Coturnix japonica: one gene and its partners. The protein of the gene in region 3 interacts with the protein of the main gene of each other region in a biochemical or structural test. Links are inferred from orthologs where the notes say so. Each region holds a gene or a part of one and is shown on either strand. Other genes may lie near its edges.

Region 1 (4,613 bases), on a different chromosome or scaffold from region 3:
ACATCGCGCCTGACCATTGCTTGGTAAAACAGCAGGTGGCCCAGGCAGAGCTGCATCAGAGGGGATGCTGACAACTGTCATTATTGCGGTATGTTTTATGCAAGAAACTAAAGGCTGAAGCCCGGCTTTAAGGGGCACGTTGTTTGGAACCTCACTTAGAATAGTGAGTACCATCATAATAGTAAACCATCCCTTGCCTTTCCAAGTTCTAACACTGGAGGTTTAGTCAGCTGCCTAGGCTAGAACAGCCACAATATAAATCACTGTAAGAGCGCTGCCACATGCCATGGTTAAAAGCTAAAGGAGGACTATTTTATATTGTCAGCCAATGATGACACAGCACTCAATACGCTCATTGCAGCTAAAAAGAAAGGGGACTTTTAAAAAAATTAAAGCTGTCACTTCAACAAGAGCCGTGTTAATAAAGTGATATTCATTTGCTAATGCAACTTTAGGCATTTTACAACTGAAAAAAAAATCTGCTCTTTATTATTAATATGAACAGTTCAGACAGAAGAAATCAAATTGAACTAGACAGACACTCAAATCTAATTTACTTTCCTTAATTGAAAGATCATTTCTCATTAAATCCTAAGGGGAAGACAATTACTGGCCTCCCGACACTATATCCCTTCTTCACGATACTTCCATATATCTGAGGAACTTAAACTATATCTACACAACATCTTCTCCCTTCCAGCATAATAATAATTATCATTATTAATATCAAACACAGATCCATCATGCAAAACACCCAAAGAAGCTGAGGAAGAACACATTTGCATTAGATACGTACCTAGAACTCAAAAGCCCATAAAGTAAAGTTACTTATCCCAACTTTCCTGCAACATCACTTACTTTTCTCCGAGGCAGATGGATATCAAGCCTTGCAATCCCAGTCACTTTATAATTTTCATTTCCTGTTCCGCGCTCAATTGCTTTGCACCGTATTTCTTCCAGCATATTCTCTGCATCGTTCTCATTGATTTTCAGCTTGGATGCGTATTTCTGTACAAGCTCCTAAGAAAACAGCAAGAAAACCTGGCAAAATGCATCAGTAATACAACTGCAGGATACATGATGTCAGCTCAGATGGAATATTTACCTTCATCTCTTCACCAGCTTCTTTTTTATCATTTGTATATGGTGGTTTCCATAGCTGAATTTTGTCTTCTCTCAAGCAACTCGTCAGCTTTGCTATCAAATACTTCTTTTGTGCCATTCTTCTAAAACAAAAGCAAGCAAACAAAAAATACCATTGAGTATGAAACACATTTTGTTGAGGAAGGGGAAGCTAACAACAAAACTACTACCAAAAATTAGAACGTGAGTAACTCAGGAGCCCCCAGCTTTGGTATTTTGTGATAGCAAATCTCTTCCTAACCTCTCATATAAGCTATAATTGCAGAACACATTGATTCTTCAGAATCCGTGACAAAACTATTCTTTCCTGCCCTGGAAAGTGCTGCTCATTCCAATCCCTCTGCAAAATCACAGAATGACCCAGGTTGGAAGGGACCTCAAGGATCATGTAGTTCCAACCCCCTGCCTAGCAGGGCCACCAAACATACACCTTTACTAGATCAGGTTGCCCAGGGCCCCGTCCAACCTGGTCTTGAACACCTCCAAGGACGGGGCATCCACAACCTCCCTGGGCAGCCTGTTCCAGGGCCTAACCACTCTCCTAGTGAAGAACTTCCCCCTAACATCCAACCTAAATCTTCCCTCTTTTAACTTAAAACCATTTCCCCGTGTCCTGCTATTGCCAGCAAAATGTGTCAGTGCCTTTTGCCTTCCTATATGATTCCTGATGCCTTCCTGACTGAATGATCTCAGAGGCCTTATTCAATCTCAGTGATTCTATAGCAAGGAATAGAGAAAGCAGACAGAGGGTAAGGAAAGGATGATGAGGCGATCTCCGAAATAAATAACCAACACAAAGAAAATCTATTTACTTATGACTTGGCTCTCGTACACTGGGAATCGTACGGGAGATGCCTTTTAATTTATATAGAAAGACATTTAAGTTGTTGGCATTGAATATTGATTAAACTGCCACTTTGGAAGGGACTTCAAGAATCATGAAGCTCCAACCCCCTCTGCTGCATGCAGGGCTACCAACCTCTATATTTAATACCAGCCCAGGCTGCCCAGGGCCCCATCCAACCTGGCCTTGAACACCTCCAGGGATGGGGCATCCACAGCCTCTCTGGACAGCTGTTCCAGCACCTCACCACTCTCATAGTAAAGAACTTCCCCCTGACATCCAACCTAATTCCCTCCTTCAACTTAAAGCCATTTTCCCTTGTCCTGCTGTTATCTACCCTTTCAAAGGGTCGACTCCCCTTCTGTTTATAGGCTCCCTTTTAAGTACTGAAAGGCTGAAACGAGGTCATCCCGCAGTAAACGGCAAGAGAATCCTGAGCAAGAACTTAGGAGAGATGCTTCCACCAAGCAGCACAAACATCCCTGATAGTTTCACTTTCACTGAGCTTAAAGGGACCCTCCCCAAACAACCGATGGGGATTTACCAAGGGCTGTTCTGAATGCTGGACTGAGCTTTCTGTCACGCAAACGTCACCTTCTGAGCCAGCTGGGCTCAGAAAAACAAGCATAAAAATCAGGTTTGAAAGCCAAATCGCTGAGAAAAGGAGGTTTCTGAGCAGTCTAGCAATAAAACAAGATAGAAACATAAACAAGGTGCCATACAGCAGCTATTTAATGATCACTCGCGGCTCCAGGGCACATAGAGAAGCGAAGCAACTCAGCACACACCCAGCCCACCCAGCACCGACACCCTTATAACCCTGTGCCATAGGGATGAACTCCCAGCACTATCACAGCTCAAAGCACCACAAGGGCGAGGCCTAAAGCAGGCCGCAGTGTGAAGGGAAGCACCCACCTGAGCCCTGCAGTGAAACACAGGCCTCGGCGCTCAGGCTGAGGGGACAACGAGCCCTAGCAACCGCTGCCCCAACCCCCATAAAGACCCAGAAGCTTGTTCTGAGGGATAACAAGGCGGTAGCTCACCCGCTGTCGGCGGCCTGTAGGAGGGGCAAGGCGCAGGGCCCGCCCCCCCCGCCATGTTCTTACCTGCGGCTGTGTGGGGTGGGGCCTGCAACGCCCGCCTCCTGACCGCTACTTCCGGGAGGTCCCCGCTCTGAGGGCGGAAGTGGAGGAGTGGGTCACGTGGTGAAGCCAAGCGATGGCCGCCATCTTAGCACTTTGCCCTCACTTGTGGATGGGAGGTTTTTAATCACAGAATCAATGACCCGGGTTGGAAGGGACCTCAAGGATCATGTAGTTCCAACCCCCCTGCCTGGCAGGGCCACCAAACATACACATTTACTAGATAAGGTTGCCCAGGAGACCCCATAGACCCCATAGAGACCCCATAGACCCCATAGAGACCCCATAGACCCCATAGACCCCATAGGGACCCCATAGACCCCATAGAGACCCCATAGACCCCATAGATCCCCATAGAGACCCCATAGATCAGGTTGCCCAGGGCCCTGTCCAACCTGGCCTTGAACACCTCCAAGGACGGGGCATCCACAACCTCCCTGGGCAGCCTGTTCCAGGGCCTAACCACTCTCCTAGTGAAGAACTTCCCCCTAACATCCAACCTAAATCTTCCCTCTTTTAACTTAAAACCAGTTCTTTTAAGTTCTAATCTGATACTTTAGACACCTCCCAGACTCAGGAACACGTTTGCCTCCATTTCCTTTTGTACCTTCTGCTATAGGTCCCATAATGGCCCATTGCTGGGGTATATTCCTTAGGCAGCTGTGTGGCCCTTGTGGGAATCAAATGTTGTTTCTGCATTTAGAACAAAATATGAATATATAAGTGAAGAAATTTGCAGTTATTAGGTAAAAATCATAGTTACAAAGACTGCAGCTTCTGTCTGTCCAGCTGTCTGAAATAGAACTACTGGTTTTTGGTGCTGGACAAATAAGATCCAAAGAGGAGAAGTTAAAATAATTAACAATATGCCTGTATAAACTAGCAACAATGTATGTATTAATGTTTTGTTGTTCAAAAATACAAGTCATGACATACCTAAGGATGTGCCTGAAGAGATATCGGGAAGGACTGGAATCACCCCTCTCCTCTGGGCTCTTTGTTTAACAAAGGCCTCTAGGACAGAATGGAAGAAGCTTTAAAGGGAATCAGCATACCAATACGATAAGAGTACCGAGACATCTTGGAAACAGAAACAGCAGGATGGCAACTGACTGGCACAAGATAGCAAGTGAACTAACAAATTTCAGAATGTAATTAACAAATGCAAACCTTGGGTAAAATTATAACCTGTAATACCCAACCAAAGGGGAGAGGGGAGGGGAAAACACATGGGAGAAAAGGTATAAAAACTGTAACATCATGTCCATAGGTGCGCTTCTGCTATCAGGGCACCCGCCATTGCAATCATGAATAAAAACTGCTTTTATCAGAGATACCATCCTGACCAAAAATTATTGAGGATATTTCCAACAGCCCTGCAGATATTGTGTGTCTTGCTCACAAACTCTGAAATAGAACATCAAGGATTCCAAGCTCTCCTGTGAGCATAAATCAGTCACATTTGCCCACTATTAAAATAAGGT
Region 2 (4,579 bases), on a different chromosome or scaffold from region 3:
ATTACTTCTATTCATTCCAAAGTGAACTGTAATCAGCAGGGAGCTCTTCATCATTCTTCAGGATATTTAGCACCCTTAAAGTGACATCATTTGCTGTGCTTTTATGAAGCAGGTTATTGCTCTAATTCCTTCCTATGAGATCCAAATTTTGCAAGTCTCATTCTTCACCCAGTCATTACCAATCTTTTCTTAGCACGGCTCTAATTTCACTACTTGCTCCTTTGTCACTAGCAGAGATACTGATCTCCCTTGTGTACAGTTGAATCATTGTCTAATCTTTCTCTTTTTTCAAGGACAAAACACCAATCTGCGCTACCAAATTAAATGTCTCCACACATATTTCACTCCTGTCGTTCCTAGATATTTTGTACTGTTGTTGTTCTCAAATTTTTCACTTATGTAAAGATCTCAAGTTGGCATTTTCTTCCTTATCCTTATTTCTCTCTAATATTTGTCCAGTCAGCATGCATTTCTCTTCTACAGTATTCAGCTACCATGAAAGATTTTTCCATTCTCTCTGAACAGGAAAACAAATGTAGTTTTCACATTTTCAGTTGTGTTCTGTATCACCTGCACGAGATCCCAAAGTAGCTGTCAAGCCAAATCTAGCAGTTCTGCAAGCTGTGAAACCAGTAAACTTTGTTATCCAGGGATATATTTCTTATATCCCTGCCCCACACTCCTAAGATTATCCCAGCTCATTCCAAATCTCTAAATTCTCCCACAGTATCCTGGGTAAGTAAGCACAAAAGTAATTTATAAAAACAAAAGGAAAAAATGGTCTAATTAGAAATTCTAAGCTACCAAGAACTAAGATTCAGCCATGTAAAAATGTATGTTGTGTTTTGTTTTATTTTATCTGCATGCAAATCATTAGGTCCAGAAAACAACTGTTATTAATTTTCTTCTATGTGATGTTAACTCTGATATTACAGATGCAACATTAATGCCAGCAGTTACTATTTCACTAGCACTCAGCTGCTTATGCAAAAAGCCCCAAATTGCCTTCTGTAGGAAAAGTCAGATATATCAAACCATCTACCATTCTTCTTGTGTTGACAATTTCTACAATGAATAGATAAAAACAATTAAAATAATTAAATACCAGGAATAAAAATCTTGTTGACATGTTGGTATTAATCATTGGATTATGTAAGGCACTTAAATACACAAATATGGATTATGCCACCTGAAATAGCCATTTTACATCCTATATGCTTTAGAAAATGAAAGTCACAGCAATGAACATAGATCCGGTTTATTAGTAAGACTTGGCTACACTTGATAATTCTGTCATTCCTATTAAATAAATTAAGCAAATAGTCAGCAGGCTTCTATATCCAAAAAGCACATTTTAATTTGCACAGCAAAGCATTGTATGTTGTAACTGACAGCAATTTTTTTTAAAGGCAAAAAACATGATTCAATGTCTGTGACATAAAATAGCAGTAACACCAATACCTACAGCTGCTCAGGAAACACTAGGAGTTCATAAGCTTAGGACAGGATAACACAGACAACCAGAACTAGCAACTGGTATCTGGTAATTTCCACTATTTTTCTTCTCACATGTGAAAAAATATAAGTGAAATACACTGCAGTTTACATCACAAATATATGCATCAATGCTATCTATAGGTTATGCATTGTGGACTGACAACAGTTCATATTTCTGTATTGTGTTCTGTCCTAAAACACACTAAAATCCTTTGCAAAATATTGAGTATCTTAACCACAGAGAAATAGGACGGGTCATTAATACAGTAGTAACCCTTCTGTACCCAGACTTAGCATCCATTTTAATTACAGAAATACTTCTGAAACACGACTGCTAATTAACATGAAATACTTCTGCCTGTGAGGGACCTTTTATATAATCACCTGCAGTAGTAGAGACTGTGTCTGTTATTTTGATACAACTGCAGAAGGATAGCAGTTTCATTAAGGCAGTAAATTCAAGAGCACTCTATTCAAAGGCCTTTAGGTTTTCCTATGTTCCTACATGTCTTAGATGTATGATCTTATGCTAACCCCTTCCTGAACATACTCTGAAATTCACATTCACTACTCATAGTATAAATAAAAACAATGATAAAGCAACTGTGGCAGCACTGGGAAGAGTAGTAAAGAGTACAAGGAAGAGAAAATTGAACCTATATTTCCATGCTTACTACAGCTCATCACAGATGAACAATTCTGCACTTATTGAACTGAACAGCTACCTAACCTTGAAAAACTGAAATTCAGATACCCACTTATAGCCATTCTTCCACACTCCTTGCTGCTCTCAGTTTCACACATTTATGAGCTTGGTGGTTTGGATCACACTTCCATGAGCTTTTTAGAACTGGAACCATCATTCCAGCAGTGCGTTCACCTGTGTATGGCACACGGCAGCATTCAGAACAGCAGCAGCAGCCCTGTAGCTATCCTCCAGGGGTCACAATTGGGTTACAAATTCTACAGAATGTGCTGACCGTGCAGCCTGATCTGAAGCAATTTATTCACATCCTTCTTCATTAAGATTCAAATGGAATAAGTAAAATAAAAATTGAACAGATACAGAAATTGTGCATGGCTTGCTTCTGTAGTCAGTAAACATTTATTCACTAGGCACAGCTCTCTCCCATACTCTCTCACTCATATGCTCTCCCTATCCTTCCTGCTTGCTGTTTTAATGCATAATTAAGAAGGTCAGAATTAATGAAGCAGTGTGGAGTAAAGTTCAAGGAATCCCCAGGCACTATTTATTCTATTAGATCTCAGGAATGAATGTCAGATTGGCAGCATTAGAGGCAGAGGCAGCAGAGCTGGCAGCAGTCCAGGAGCAAAGCTACCACAGAGGCTTACCTGCAGCGTTAAGTCGTTGCTGAGCTCTCTCCCTGCAAAGATCACCCGCAGCTGGTCAGCTGGAACTCCCTGTCGCTGCGCAACCGCCTCCTTCAGCTGGAGGATGCTGGCTTCCAACCCAAGCTCCACCGGGAAGCCATGGCTTGAGTTGAACCTGACAAACACTGAAAAAGAGAAAACACCTTTTAAAGCAAACATTTCTCACTGCCGGTCTGTACTAGAGTGACTACAAGTGGCTTATTTGTCAATTTCAGAGAGCACTGACTGTTTTAAGAGAAAAGCTACTAATACTGTAGTGTATAATTTGGAAAAGAGGAACTGTATGGGATTTCCCTTCACAGAATAGCTAGTGACTAATAAACAAAAGCCACGTGCTTCCCCCAGCAGAGCTATAAATTGAAGAGAAACATCAGAACCAAAAGGGACCCATCCAGCCAGCAGTCCAGGCAACCACTAAGTCCTGGAACAAATCTCTGATCCACAACTGACCTTAACAGACACAGGACACACACACTTTCTATGCCCCTTGTGCTCTTTCCTGCTGCACGTAACAAATGCATGCAGAAAACTGAGTTTTAGAGCTAAGTTACATTAAATAATACTAAGCAAAACAATTCACTGTTATACTGCAGAGCACGGTCACATAAATTGGTTCCCCACAGATACAATTCTGTGGAAGGTAATGATGGAGAGAAAAATCACACGCTAGCAGAAATGTTTGGGAGTGTTGTATTACACTGTGGTCTTTTCAGAGTTCACTAAAACATCTGCAGTACATAACTCCTGCTGGCATGTTCCTTCAGTGCAGGAAATCACTACCGCACTCGCCATATCATTTTTAGAGCTGCAGAGAGTGGTTTATATATCCTGAGAAGCCTGGCAAATAAACTCATGAGCTTACAGCCATTCAGCTGGCAGTGTTGTTTTTCACAAGGGTGCTGAATGTGCTCATTGAGCCCTTGACCAGGGGAGTGACTACAAGAACTATGCAACAAGAAAAGCTTGACTACATCCATACCAGTCACTAAGGCTGCATAAACAGTACACTCAATCCCAGTGGGCTGCTTCAGCCAATAAACAGTTCCACTAGCACAAAGCAAAGGAATTAGCAAGTAATATAAAGCAATAAAATCATTTGTATCAATTAGTCACTGGCTACCTGACATTTGAACTGTTTAGGTATTGATTGCAATAACCATCCCTCTTGAAGATTTCCCATTCCCACTGCAATGTTCTAACTGAAGACATACTCCTTTGAATTTTTTATGAGTGACAGATGCATAAATTCAAAAGTGCTCATACAGTTTGAGGAAATCTATTTTTAAACTGACAATAGGATCAATGATTTTCCAAACACAAAGTGTACCTGACTGCTGTAAAGGAGTCAAATGCTTTAAAAGCATGCGAATATAGTTGAGAATGATGGCGATTTTTTGCTGAGCAATGAACGTTGTAAATATTTGCAATTTTACACCTTTAATATAGATTTTGCTATTTCTGGATAATCTTTAAGGCCATAGACCAATATATTTTTTTACACAACATTTTGAGTTTTGCACATCCTCTAAATTTACTAAAAACCAGGATAGGATTACATAACACCGTGTCAGGAGGAGTGCAGTACATACGGCCTACAATGTGTTACAGAGTCTCCTGCAGTACATCTTGTTACTGGGTTTGATTTCTATATAAAGATGTTCTGGAAATAACTGAAATGTGCAATTCTTGT
Region 3 (4,811 bases):
GCCTCTGCTCCTCCATGGAGACACGCAGAGCCTGCAGAGATGGGCAGAGCGCAGCACTGAGGGGCACAGCCCAGAGCAGCACAGCAGGGCACACACTGCTGCCCCCCATCCCACTCACCAGGGCCAGCTCTGGGTCGGCACTTGGATCCACACCGAACTCGAAGTCGCTGGCTCCCAGGCCCAGCATGGCTCCCCCCTCACCAGCCAGGATCGGGGAGCTGATGAGGGCATCGGCCAGGCTGGGCCCTGGCGGCACCGTCACCAGGTGGGAGCCTGTTCCATCCTTCCCATTCAGGGTGTTGATGAAGGCCGTCAGTTTGTCCGTGTTGGCTTCCTAGGTGAAGAGAGAGGCTGGGAGCCCAGCTCCCCCCATGCTGCCCCCATACCTGGAAGCACCACTAGCCGCAGCGCACCAGGTGATGCCATTCTTGCTCCCCAGTCCGCCATTATCCCTTCTCCTCCCACCAAACATAATCCAGGCACAGAGCAGAACCACACGGGTCACAAACCCCAGAGGCAAGGGGCCAGAAATGCCATCTGGGGGCACACAGCTCTGCTGTTTCCACGGGGAAAAATAACAAGGCCTGCAGCAAAACATGTGGGGCCTCCCCAGAGGGAAACATGAACCTCAGCAACACCAGTGGAGCCACAGAGGGGGTGTTATGGGGATGTTATGGGATGGGGTGTGATGTTATGGAGTGTTATGAGGTGTTAGGGGGTGTTATGGGATGGGATGTTATGGGGTGGGATGGGATGTTATGGGGTGTGATGGGATGTTATGTCTCTCCTGACCCCCTGGCTCAGATCTTAACTGGTAAAACGCAGCCCAAGTCTCACCTCTTCTCCAAAGTTGATAATGTCAACATTGACCTTCTCCTTCTTCAGACGCTTTGCCAGCTTCACCAGCTGCAACAAGGAAATGGGGCAGCTTTAGTGCCTCACTGCCCACATCTCAGCTCACAGCCCAACCCTCCCATTGGAAACCTGGGGACAGCCCTCAAGATCCTTACGAAGCAAAGCCCCAAATCAGCCCCACAGCTGCAGCTCCAGCCCACACTGCCCTGCTGGGGCACAGCCTTCCACTCAGAGCAGAGCAAGGAACAAGCCACCCATCTGGTTTAGGGGTAATGGAGAGCAGAGACAACATATTCTGCTTAGACTGGCGCTACTCACGTCTTTCTCGTTATCTTCTACAGGGCTCCCGACAAAGGCAATGATTCGCATCTTGTGGTTCTTGCCCTGGCGATGCTTCAGAGCCAGCTACAAAACAGAAGTCACATCGTGCTCAAGGAGCAGCTCCCAGGAGAGAGGACGGCTGGGAGGCAGCCCTGCACAGACACAGAGAAGCAGAGAACCACCGGGTGGATGAGCCTCCTCCTCCTCCTCCCCCCAACCCAGATCCCCAATCCAAAGCTGGCTCAGTTTGTAGTAACAACAACTTACATGAGCAACTCTGATCCCCGTGCAAAAGGTGATTTTCCCTTTGGGTTGCACCGTGTGTAGCTTTGAAAGGATCCGTCCTGTGTCCGGAGTGAGCGTGGTCAACACTTCACAGTTACTGCAAGAGAAACAAGAACTACAGTGACGCTGTTTGAGAACCTCTCTGTGAAACCCCCGTTTGCTCCAGAATGTGGAATATCCCCCCTCCCTCCTTCCCACAGCACCTCCAGGTCTATGTGTCTTAACCAGCCCCATACTTGGCTAAAGTGATGAGCCCCACGTTGTTCTCGGGGTTGCTGCGGGTCTTGGAGTGGCACACAATATTGACGGCATCCTGCTGAGCTTGCAGGCGGGTGGGTAAGAAGTCCCCATTTCTCATGTACTCACTGTTGTCAACGCTGGAAAAACACCATCCCTCAGAGGGGGCACAGCTCAGCGTCACCCACAGACACAATGAGGGTGCACTCAAATCCCAAAGCCCCTCCAGCCCAACCACCCCACAGCCGATCTTATAGCACCCTTCCCACCCAATCACTCCATGGTTAATCTTCAAGGACCCTCCCAATACATCCATCACACGGTTAATCTTTCAGGACCCTTCCCAACCACCCCACAGCTGACATTGCAGGACCCTTCCCACCCAACCAATCCATGGTTGACCTTCAAGGACCCTCCCAACACAACCATCACATGGTTAATCTTTAAGGACCTTTTCCACCCAACCGCCCCACAGTTTACCTTGCAGGACCCTCCCAACACAACCATCACATGGTTAACCTTTAAGGACCCTTCCTACCCACCCATCCCACAGCTGACCTTTCAGGACCCTTCCCACCCAATCACTCTATGGTTGACCTTCCCAATACAACCATTACATAGTTAATCTTTAAGGACCTTTTCCACCCAACCAATCCATGGTTGATCTTCAAGGATCCCCCCAACACAACTATCACATGGTTGATATTTAAGGACCCTTCCCACACAATCACTCCATGGTTGATCTTCAAGGACCCTCCCAACACATCCATCACACAGTTAATGTTTCAGGACCCTTCCCCCCCACCCCCCGTTCCACAGACATGGTTACACTCACTGAACCCCAGCAGTTCCGCAGCTCAGGCCGCCCCACTGCGATGCCCCCCCTCCAATAGGCCCCAACACGGCTCTGATGTGTCTCAATGTGACCCCAATGTGTCCACAGCGCTGACCCCAACCCCCCCCACAGGCCCGGCCCCGACCCGCCATGACTCAGGGAAAGCCGGTGCGGCGCCGCGCGGCCCATAGAGCACAGCGGGACACGAGGGAGCGAGAAGGGAGAAGGGTCGGGGCCGGGGCTGCAGCGATCCCGACCCGGTTCGATCCAACCCGGCCCGGCCCGGCCCGGCCCGGCCCGCTCACCACACCATGGTGCTCTCCAGAACCATCTTTGCTTCTTCAGAGCCGCCTCACGGCCCTCTCAATAAGGAGCCCGTTGATTGGCTGCTCGCCGTCAGCCAATAGGCGCTGCTGGAAAGCGAGGCGAGCGGAGCACGCTGGGAGTTGTAGTCCCTATAGATCCCCTATCCGCCCCCCCAAACATGGCCGCCCGGACCCATATCAGGGGGTGTGGAGGGTAGGTGAGGAGCTGATGGTGCCGCCGTCCGGGACGGCAACAGCGAGTCTGATCTTAATGAGCACCTATGGAAGCAGAGGGATGAAGGGCGGGGGGGTGGGGGGGCTGGAAGGGTCCTTGAAGGTCAAATATGGGGTGAGGGAATTGAAAGGGTCCTTAAACATCAACCTCTGATCTTAATGATCATCCACAGAACTGGGGGGGCACGGGTTGGAAGGGTCCTTGAAGGTCAAATATGGGGTGGTGAGTTTGAAAGGGTCCTTGAAGGTCAAATATGGAGGGGTGCAGTTAGAAGGGTCCTCAAAGGTCAAATATGGGGTGGGGGAATTGAAAGGGTCCTTAAACGTCAACCTCTGAACCTCTGATCTTAATGATCATCCACAGAACTGGAGGGGGGCGGGTTGGAAGGGTCCTTGAAGGTCAAATATGGAGGGATGAGACTGGAAGGAACCTTGAAGGTCAAATATGGAGGGGTGCAGTTAGAAGGGTCCTCAAAGGTCAAATATGGGGTGGGCAGACTGGTAAGGTCCTTGAAGGTCAACCTCCTCACCATAAAAGCACAGAAGAGTTTGGGATTGAAGGGACCTTGTCCCAGTTCATCGTGAGAAGTGGGACCAAAAGGTCTCCAGGAGCCCCTTCCAACCCAACCCATGCTCTGAACCCACACCGTGCTCAATGGCAGACACAAATCCCCCAACAGCTGCATTCCCTCCCCAGGATCACTCCAGACCCCCACAAAGGGGCACTGAGGCCCTTCAGAACCCACCCCACAGCCCCAGGGCAATGGCGGACACACCACAACATCCCCCCCATAGCCCCTATTCCCACAGAGCAGGCGTGGAGGCAGATGGCTGCAGGAGCACGCGCTGTATTGGGGGCCGTGGTAACCATAGAACGGCCCTGAGGGCGAAACAGTACAGAGATAACACAACAACGTCCACAACACGGCACGAGCAGCTCCATGGGGACACGGACAGGGCCTTCCCAGTGCCAAGGGACCACAAGGGCCTGAATCCAACAGGTGGTGTTGGGATCCATGACCTGAGACCTGATCCGTCAGGAGGTGCTGGGATCCATTGGCCCATGCCAGGATCCACCAGCATCCTTAAGTCCATGCCAGGATCCATCAGGTAGTACTGGATCCATTAGGAAGGTGCTGGGATCCATCACATGGGGTCAGATGCATCATGTGGTGCCAGGAGCCAACACCTGGGGCTAAGATCCTTAAGTCTGTGCCAGGGATCCATTGGGTGATGCCAGCATCCATCAACCCGTTCCAGGATCAATCAGATGGCCCTAGGATCCATTTGATGATCCCAGAATGCATCATGTGGTGCCAGGATCCATCACCTAAGGGTCAGCATCCTTAAGTCCATGACAGGATCCACTGAGTGATGGCAGGATCCATCAACCCATTCCAAGACCCATCGGGCAGTCCCAGGATCCAGGTGATGGTCCCAGGATCCATTAACCCATGCCAGGACCCATCAGCTGGGGTCAGGATCCTTAAGTCCATGCTAGGATCCATTTGATGGCCCCAGAATCCATCATCGGGGGCCAGGATCCATTGGATGAGGCTGGGGATCCATCAATTGATTCCAGGAGCCACTGGATGCTCCCAAGAGCCATCAATTGATTCCAGCATCTGTTGGATGCTCCCAGGATCCACTCAGATGCTCCCAGGATCCATCAATTGATTCCAAGAACCATTGGATTCTCCCAAGAGCCATTGGATGCTCCCAAGATCCATCAATTGATT
Region 4 (4,804 bases), on a different chromosome or scaffold from region 3:
CAACACCGGAGGCCCTGGGTTCGAATCCCCCCTGTGGCACAAATGGTAGAAGTGCTGCTCTGCTACACAGGAGGCTCGAATTCCGGGGGGTTGGACTCAATGATCTCTAAGGTCCCTTCCAACCTGCACGAGACTATGATACTATGATACATGCTGAGCACAAACAGAGAAAAAACAAAATAAGAAAGAGACAGATGAGCAGCACTTGTCTCTAATCAAATGACCTTCCAAAGGGGCTTATAACTTGAAGGTTATTTTCCATTGCAACCTGTGTACTCCATGTTCTAGATGCACAACGCAGCATCAGCAATGACTCCATTACTGAAGTTTTCAATACAGAAAAAAAAAAAAAAACAAACGTGAGACTAACCCATTTTAAGGGTCAGCTCTGGAAACATCATATTTACTGCTGATGCTTACTATTAAAAACAGCTTATTATTACAGTTTAAGAAAAACAGATTAACATTAGCCACTACCAGACACTGTGTATTTTAGTGGTAGTTGTGACAGCTTAGGACCCACAGCAAATGGTGGGCCTCCAGGGGCAATCTTACTTCATGGGAACCAAGGTATAACTGCAAATAGTCTGTACCTCTAATGTACTGTCAAATGTTTAGCGCTTAAGATAAGTGGACAACAATTAAATTTCAAGCAGCATCTTCTATTAACTACTTAAAATCATATGTCTTCTTTTAGTAAAGTGTGCTTGCTAGCTTATTTAGACATTTGCTTTTAAGACAACTGATCACAAAACAACCTGGCATCCCAACTGGCCTTCATATTTAAAAAAAAAAAAAAATCCTGCTAAAGATAAATTTGTAAATATAAATTTCACCTTAAGTAAATTTGTTTACACCTCCTTAAGTATCCAAATAATTTGCAATTACATTGTTTTTGGTGATAGATACTTTCCTCCTGTTAGATCTGGAATATGAATCTCCAAAAAAATTAAAAAAGACCCCATAAAGAACTTTCCAGTAACTTTATAACAGTGCTGATGTTGCTTAGAAGAGGAAAAAAAGTACCCCCTTCTGACAGATTTCTGCAAACATTAAAAGCAAACGCTGCCATTTCACCTTTGGGAGAAATGCCTAGATTAAGTTTGCAGATAGAGTAGCAGGTAGGATGCTGCAAAAAGCCCAAAGACAGAAGAGTATCACTTCCCCAGCAGCTGGAGAGAGGACCTCAATTAAGCTTATTTCTGGGATGCTTATAAGCAAAATAATGAGAAAAACTTGAAAGAAATACCAGCATCTTGTCGCCTCACAGCAACTAGGTAGAACAAAGATTTAAATTCTAGCCCAGTTGCTGGTACTACACTCAGGGCTTTTACTTCACCTCTTGTATTCCCCTTTGATAACCACATAGCATCTTCTGGTTTAACCATAAGAAATGATATCAAGCTTTGCATTTTGACAACAGTGGTGACACCTGGAGATAAATTCAGAGCCTTCAGCAACTAATTCAAACTCCTTGGCAAACTGACATTCAGTTTAGGAAAGGCTGTGTTTCCCAGATAAGCAGGACATCTGAAGCCTAAAAGCAGAGTCTCATCCCACAAGCTTTGAGGAGCTAAGCTGTACGCTGCTGGGTTTGATAATACAGGCACCATAATAAGGTCGATGTGCTAATGAGAAACTTAAATAGCCAAGACTCTCAAAAACAGGTTTTGGACTAAATACAGGCCTGGCCCACACCACCTCTGGCATGGGCAACACCTCCCAGTGGAACCTGACAACCACCAAAGATTCCCTAGAAAGAACCCTATATTAACTCATCACATGTGTGGCACTACATTTTAATATATAAAGCAATTCTAAGAATAAACCATCACTTCAGTGGAAATAGTATGTATACTTACATGTTGAAGTGTACGAGATCTGTTACTTTACATCCTAGGTATGCATGCTAGGAAAATCAACCAACCATACACCCAGAGCTAAAATAAAATAATGTCAGCTTTGTAACCTGTCACTCAGGTTGTCAACTTTCATGGCTGGATTTCTGTGGCAGCAGAGCTCACATACATGCCCATGTTTTACTTTGCAGTTACAAGTCACATGCAAGAAGGGGGAAAAAAAAAAAGAATTCAAACTGAGGCACCTCATCCAAAGATACTTTAAAGAACATTTCAGATAAATCATATGGACAAAGTAAGCTCTGAATCCCCTCCAAGTAACTGCATCTTTTGGAGTATCTTAGCAAAACAGTATCCATCTCCTTCACAAACAGAAGGCTGATTTTACAGACTCTACCTTAGGCTTTGATTGTAGTTCCTCTATGGTTGGTTGCCCTCTAACTCAAATAAAAGCCCCCATCAACACCTGCACAGAAAACTTCCACAAAAAAACATTACAGGAGCATTACAGGAAATCGAGATGATGATTCACTACTTCTTTCAAACCGAAGGTACCAGGGTTGGGGTGGAGGGGGCACAGGCTTTCATAAGAAAAGTGCAGCTGAAGTTGCACTTTATTTACACTGCAAATTCTATAATCTCTCGAAAAAGACAACTTCCCTAAAATTCTGATGCTCGCCGTGGCGTTCTCAGTTGTTTGGGTTTTTTTTTTGTTTGTTTGGGTTTTTTTTGGTAGTGTTGTTTTTTTAGAGCACATTTTATCCAGATAACGACCGGCCCCACAACGCTCTCAGCAAGGTGATTGCGCACGCTCTCCGCAGCCTCACCGGCAAGCAAGCTGCCGCCTCCCGCTGCCAGCCTGAGTCAGCCGGGCCGGGCAACGCAACAAGAGCCGGGCCGGGCCTCCTCCCGAGCCGACACACAACCGCGGGTAGCGAGAGGTCGGGGGGGGGATGCGGCCGCCCCGCCGGGAGCGGACCACGACCGAGCCCCGCCGCTCTCCGGCCCGGCCCCGCGGAGCTCGGGCAGGCAGCAGTCGCTTCGTCACGGGCACGGGCCCCAGCCCTGCAGCGTGAGGCCGCGGAGCGCGGCAGAGCTCGGCCGGCAGGCCGCGTTTCCCTCGCTCCTCGCCGCCCCTCACCTGCCGGATGCTGCTGGTTTCGGCAACAGAGAACTCCTCTTTCTCTTTGGGAGTCTTCACCGTGACTCTGATAATGCGCGGTTCGTCGGCAGCTGAGCCCTGAGCAGGAGTCTCCGGGGGACTGCGGCGCCCCGCGGGGCTGTCTGTGCTGTCTGACATCGTGAGCGGGGCCGGGCCGGCACCTAACGCCCGTCAGCTCGGAACAAGCACAACACTCCCTACTCTCACCTCACCCCCCAACGGGCTCTGCCCGCTCCCGTAGCGCCGGGCGGAAATACCCGTCCTGGCCGCGGCGCGCATTGATGACGCAGCTCTTCGGGGAAGTTACTAGAAAGGGGCGCTGCCTGCCCGGGTGGGGGCTGGATGCACGGCGTCTATTGCGCGCATGCGCCACGCTCGCGTAGGCGCAGTTAGTCTCGCGTACGCCGCCAACTGCGGGGCGGGGCGGGGCGGTCTGGTCTGAGTTTGGTCTTTCAGTTTGTTGCTCTGCGCTGTTGTACGGCAATAATGTCGAACGTGTACTGTTCTGGAAGCGGGATTCCTGAGGCACTGCTCCATAGACGGGTTGCACGTTGCTCTGAATTTTGGACCAAGTGCACTTAATCGCTAATTAATTCTAGCGTCACCAAGTCAGGCTCTACCTAGTGATATTCGTAAATTAAAGATTCGAATTTCTCTTTTAAGCATGAAACACAATCATGGATTTCCGTAGGACACCGAGTGCCTGCTCCTCCTCATCCTTCATTAACAGCTCGGTTTCCCAGAGGACGCTGTGCAGCGGAGGAGCTGCTGTCTTGCTGTGGTGTGAGGATAATCTCATGTGTAGGAACTCAGTGTAAATCATGTTGGCTGGTAACACCACAGAGCTGCCTCCAGTCCTCTAAAACTATTGTGCAATCCATTTAAAACCTGTCAACAGGTTTTAAAACAGGGATACCAAAAGCTGGCGGAAGGCCCATTGAAGTTCTGGTTGGCCTAGAGAATTGGTGTGTTAAGGAAAAAAAATGCTTTCAGGTATATTTAATCTCTGAGCCTTTTTTTTGTCACACTCATTCCTTTTCCCGTGTTAGTTGTGACCCTACACAGCACTGAACTGTGGTGCAGCAGGGCGCTTTGACACAGAATGGTGGTAGAATGAGGGCCGCAGTGAGTCAGGTAGTGCTTTGCTCAACCAAGCAGTGGTTTCAAGCAGCAATCAATTGGATCAAAGTGCAAGGGCTTTTGCAACCAGGGCTACTCTTAGTTTACAACAGCTCATGCTGACTGTATGGCTACTTGAGTACAGTTTGTACCAAAATAGCACAACTGCTATCCATTAGGCTAGAAGAGATTTACAGTTTAGATTATTAGGCATCTGTGGTATTCAGTGAGAGTACCTAAGAGGTAAGGAGTACAAAATAAGAACTTGAATTTAGTAGGTTCTTAATGTGGGAATGGAATGTTGTTTCTGCATTACATATTGAAAAAGGCAGTCGATCTGAAGAAGCAGAACAAATGTATTTGTATTTTGTAACTTGTCCTTAGAAATAGCTGATGTGAAAAAGTAGAAATACCATATATGTTAGTAGCATATTTTAGAAATATAGTTGCTGAATTATGTGATTAATTCTTGCTTGCAAAACTGCAATAGTTTTTAAATGTTCCAAATAGTATGGGTATAGTATTATGGACTAGAAAACATATTGTAAGGCTATTCTGTTTGGATAAGAGACCCTCAGCAAAAGAAAAACAGACTTAACAAACATCAAAGAAGCCAGGGCCTCCGCACAAGGCTGGATTGCTTTGTCCTGTGGGTAGGTTGGGA

What was found.
Region 1: the proteins of PSMD4 (region 3) and NUB1 form a complex in vitro, tested with the Homo sapiens proteins (2 studies listed by BioGRID). The link is inferred for Coturnix japonica from reciprocal best matches to the Homo sapiens genes PSMD4 and NUB1.
Region 2: the proteins of PSMD4 (region 3) and PRKN form a complex in vitro, tested with the Homo sapiens proteins (6 studies listed by BioGRID, with this or other methods). The link is inferred for Coturnix japonica from reciprocal best matches to the Homo sapiens genes PSMD4 and PRKN.
Region 4: the proteins of PSMD4 (region 3) and UBQLN1 form a complex in vitro, tested with the Homo sapiens proteins (6 studies listed by BioGRID and IntAct, with this or other methods). The link is inferred for Coturnix japonica from reciprocal best matches to the Homo sapiens genes PSMD4 and UBQLN1.

Annotation. Positions count from the first base shown.
Region 1 is NC_029517.1:5,523,513-5,528,125, reverse strand, and holds the start of NUB1 (NEDD8 ultimate buster 1), read right to left. Parts: upstream 3,160-4,613; 5' UTR 3,094-3,159; exon of another isoform or gene 2,903-3,093; intron 1,227-2,902; 5' UTR 1,223-1,226; coding exon 1,106-1,222; intron 1,021-1,105; coding exon 859-1,020; intron 1-858. UniProt on the Homo sapiens protein: Specific down-regulator of the NEDD8 conjugation system. Recruits NEDD8, UBD, and their conjugates to the proteasome for degradation. Isoform 1 promotes the degradation of NEDD8 more efficiently than isoform 2.
Region 2 is NC_029518.1:40,121,842-40,126,420, reverse strand, and holds the start of PRKN (E3 ubiquitin-protein ligase parkin), read right to left. Parts: upstream 3,160-4,579; 5' UTR 3,049-3,159; coding exon 2,851-3,048; intron 1-2,850. UniProt on the Homo sapiens protein: Functions within a multiprotein E3 ubiquitin ligase complex, catalyzing the covalent attachment of ubiquitin moieties onto substrate proteins. Substrates include SYT11 and VDAC1.
Region 3 is NC_029540.1:2,264,539-2,269,349, reverse strand, and holds the start of PSMD4 (26S proteasome non-ATPase regulatory subunit 4), read right to left. Parts: upstream 2,963-4,811; 5' UTR 2,865-2,962; coding exon 2,839-2,864; intron 1,839-2,838; coding exon 1,698-1,838; intron 1,559-1,697; coding exon 1,444-1,558; intron 1,261-1,443; coding exon 1,174-1,260; intron 907-1,173; coding exon 838-906; intron 335-837; coding exon 119-334; intron 32-118; coding exon 1-31. UniProt on the Homo sapiens protein: Component of the 26S proteasome, a multiprotein complex involved in the ATP-dependent degradation of ubiquitinated proteins.
Region 4 is NC_029547.1:36,155,998-36,160,801, forward strand, and holds the start of UBQLN1 (ubiquilin-1), read right to left. Parts: upstream 3,160-4,804; coding exon 3,001-3,159; intron 1-3,000. UniProt on the Homo sapiens protein: Plays an important role in the regulation of different protein degradation mechanisms and pathways including ubiquitin-proteasome system (UPS), autophagy and endoplasmic reticulum-associated protein degradation (ERAD) pathway.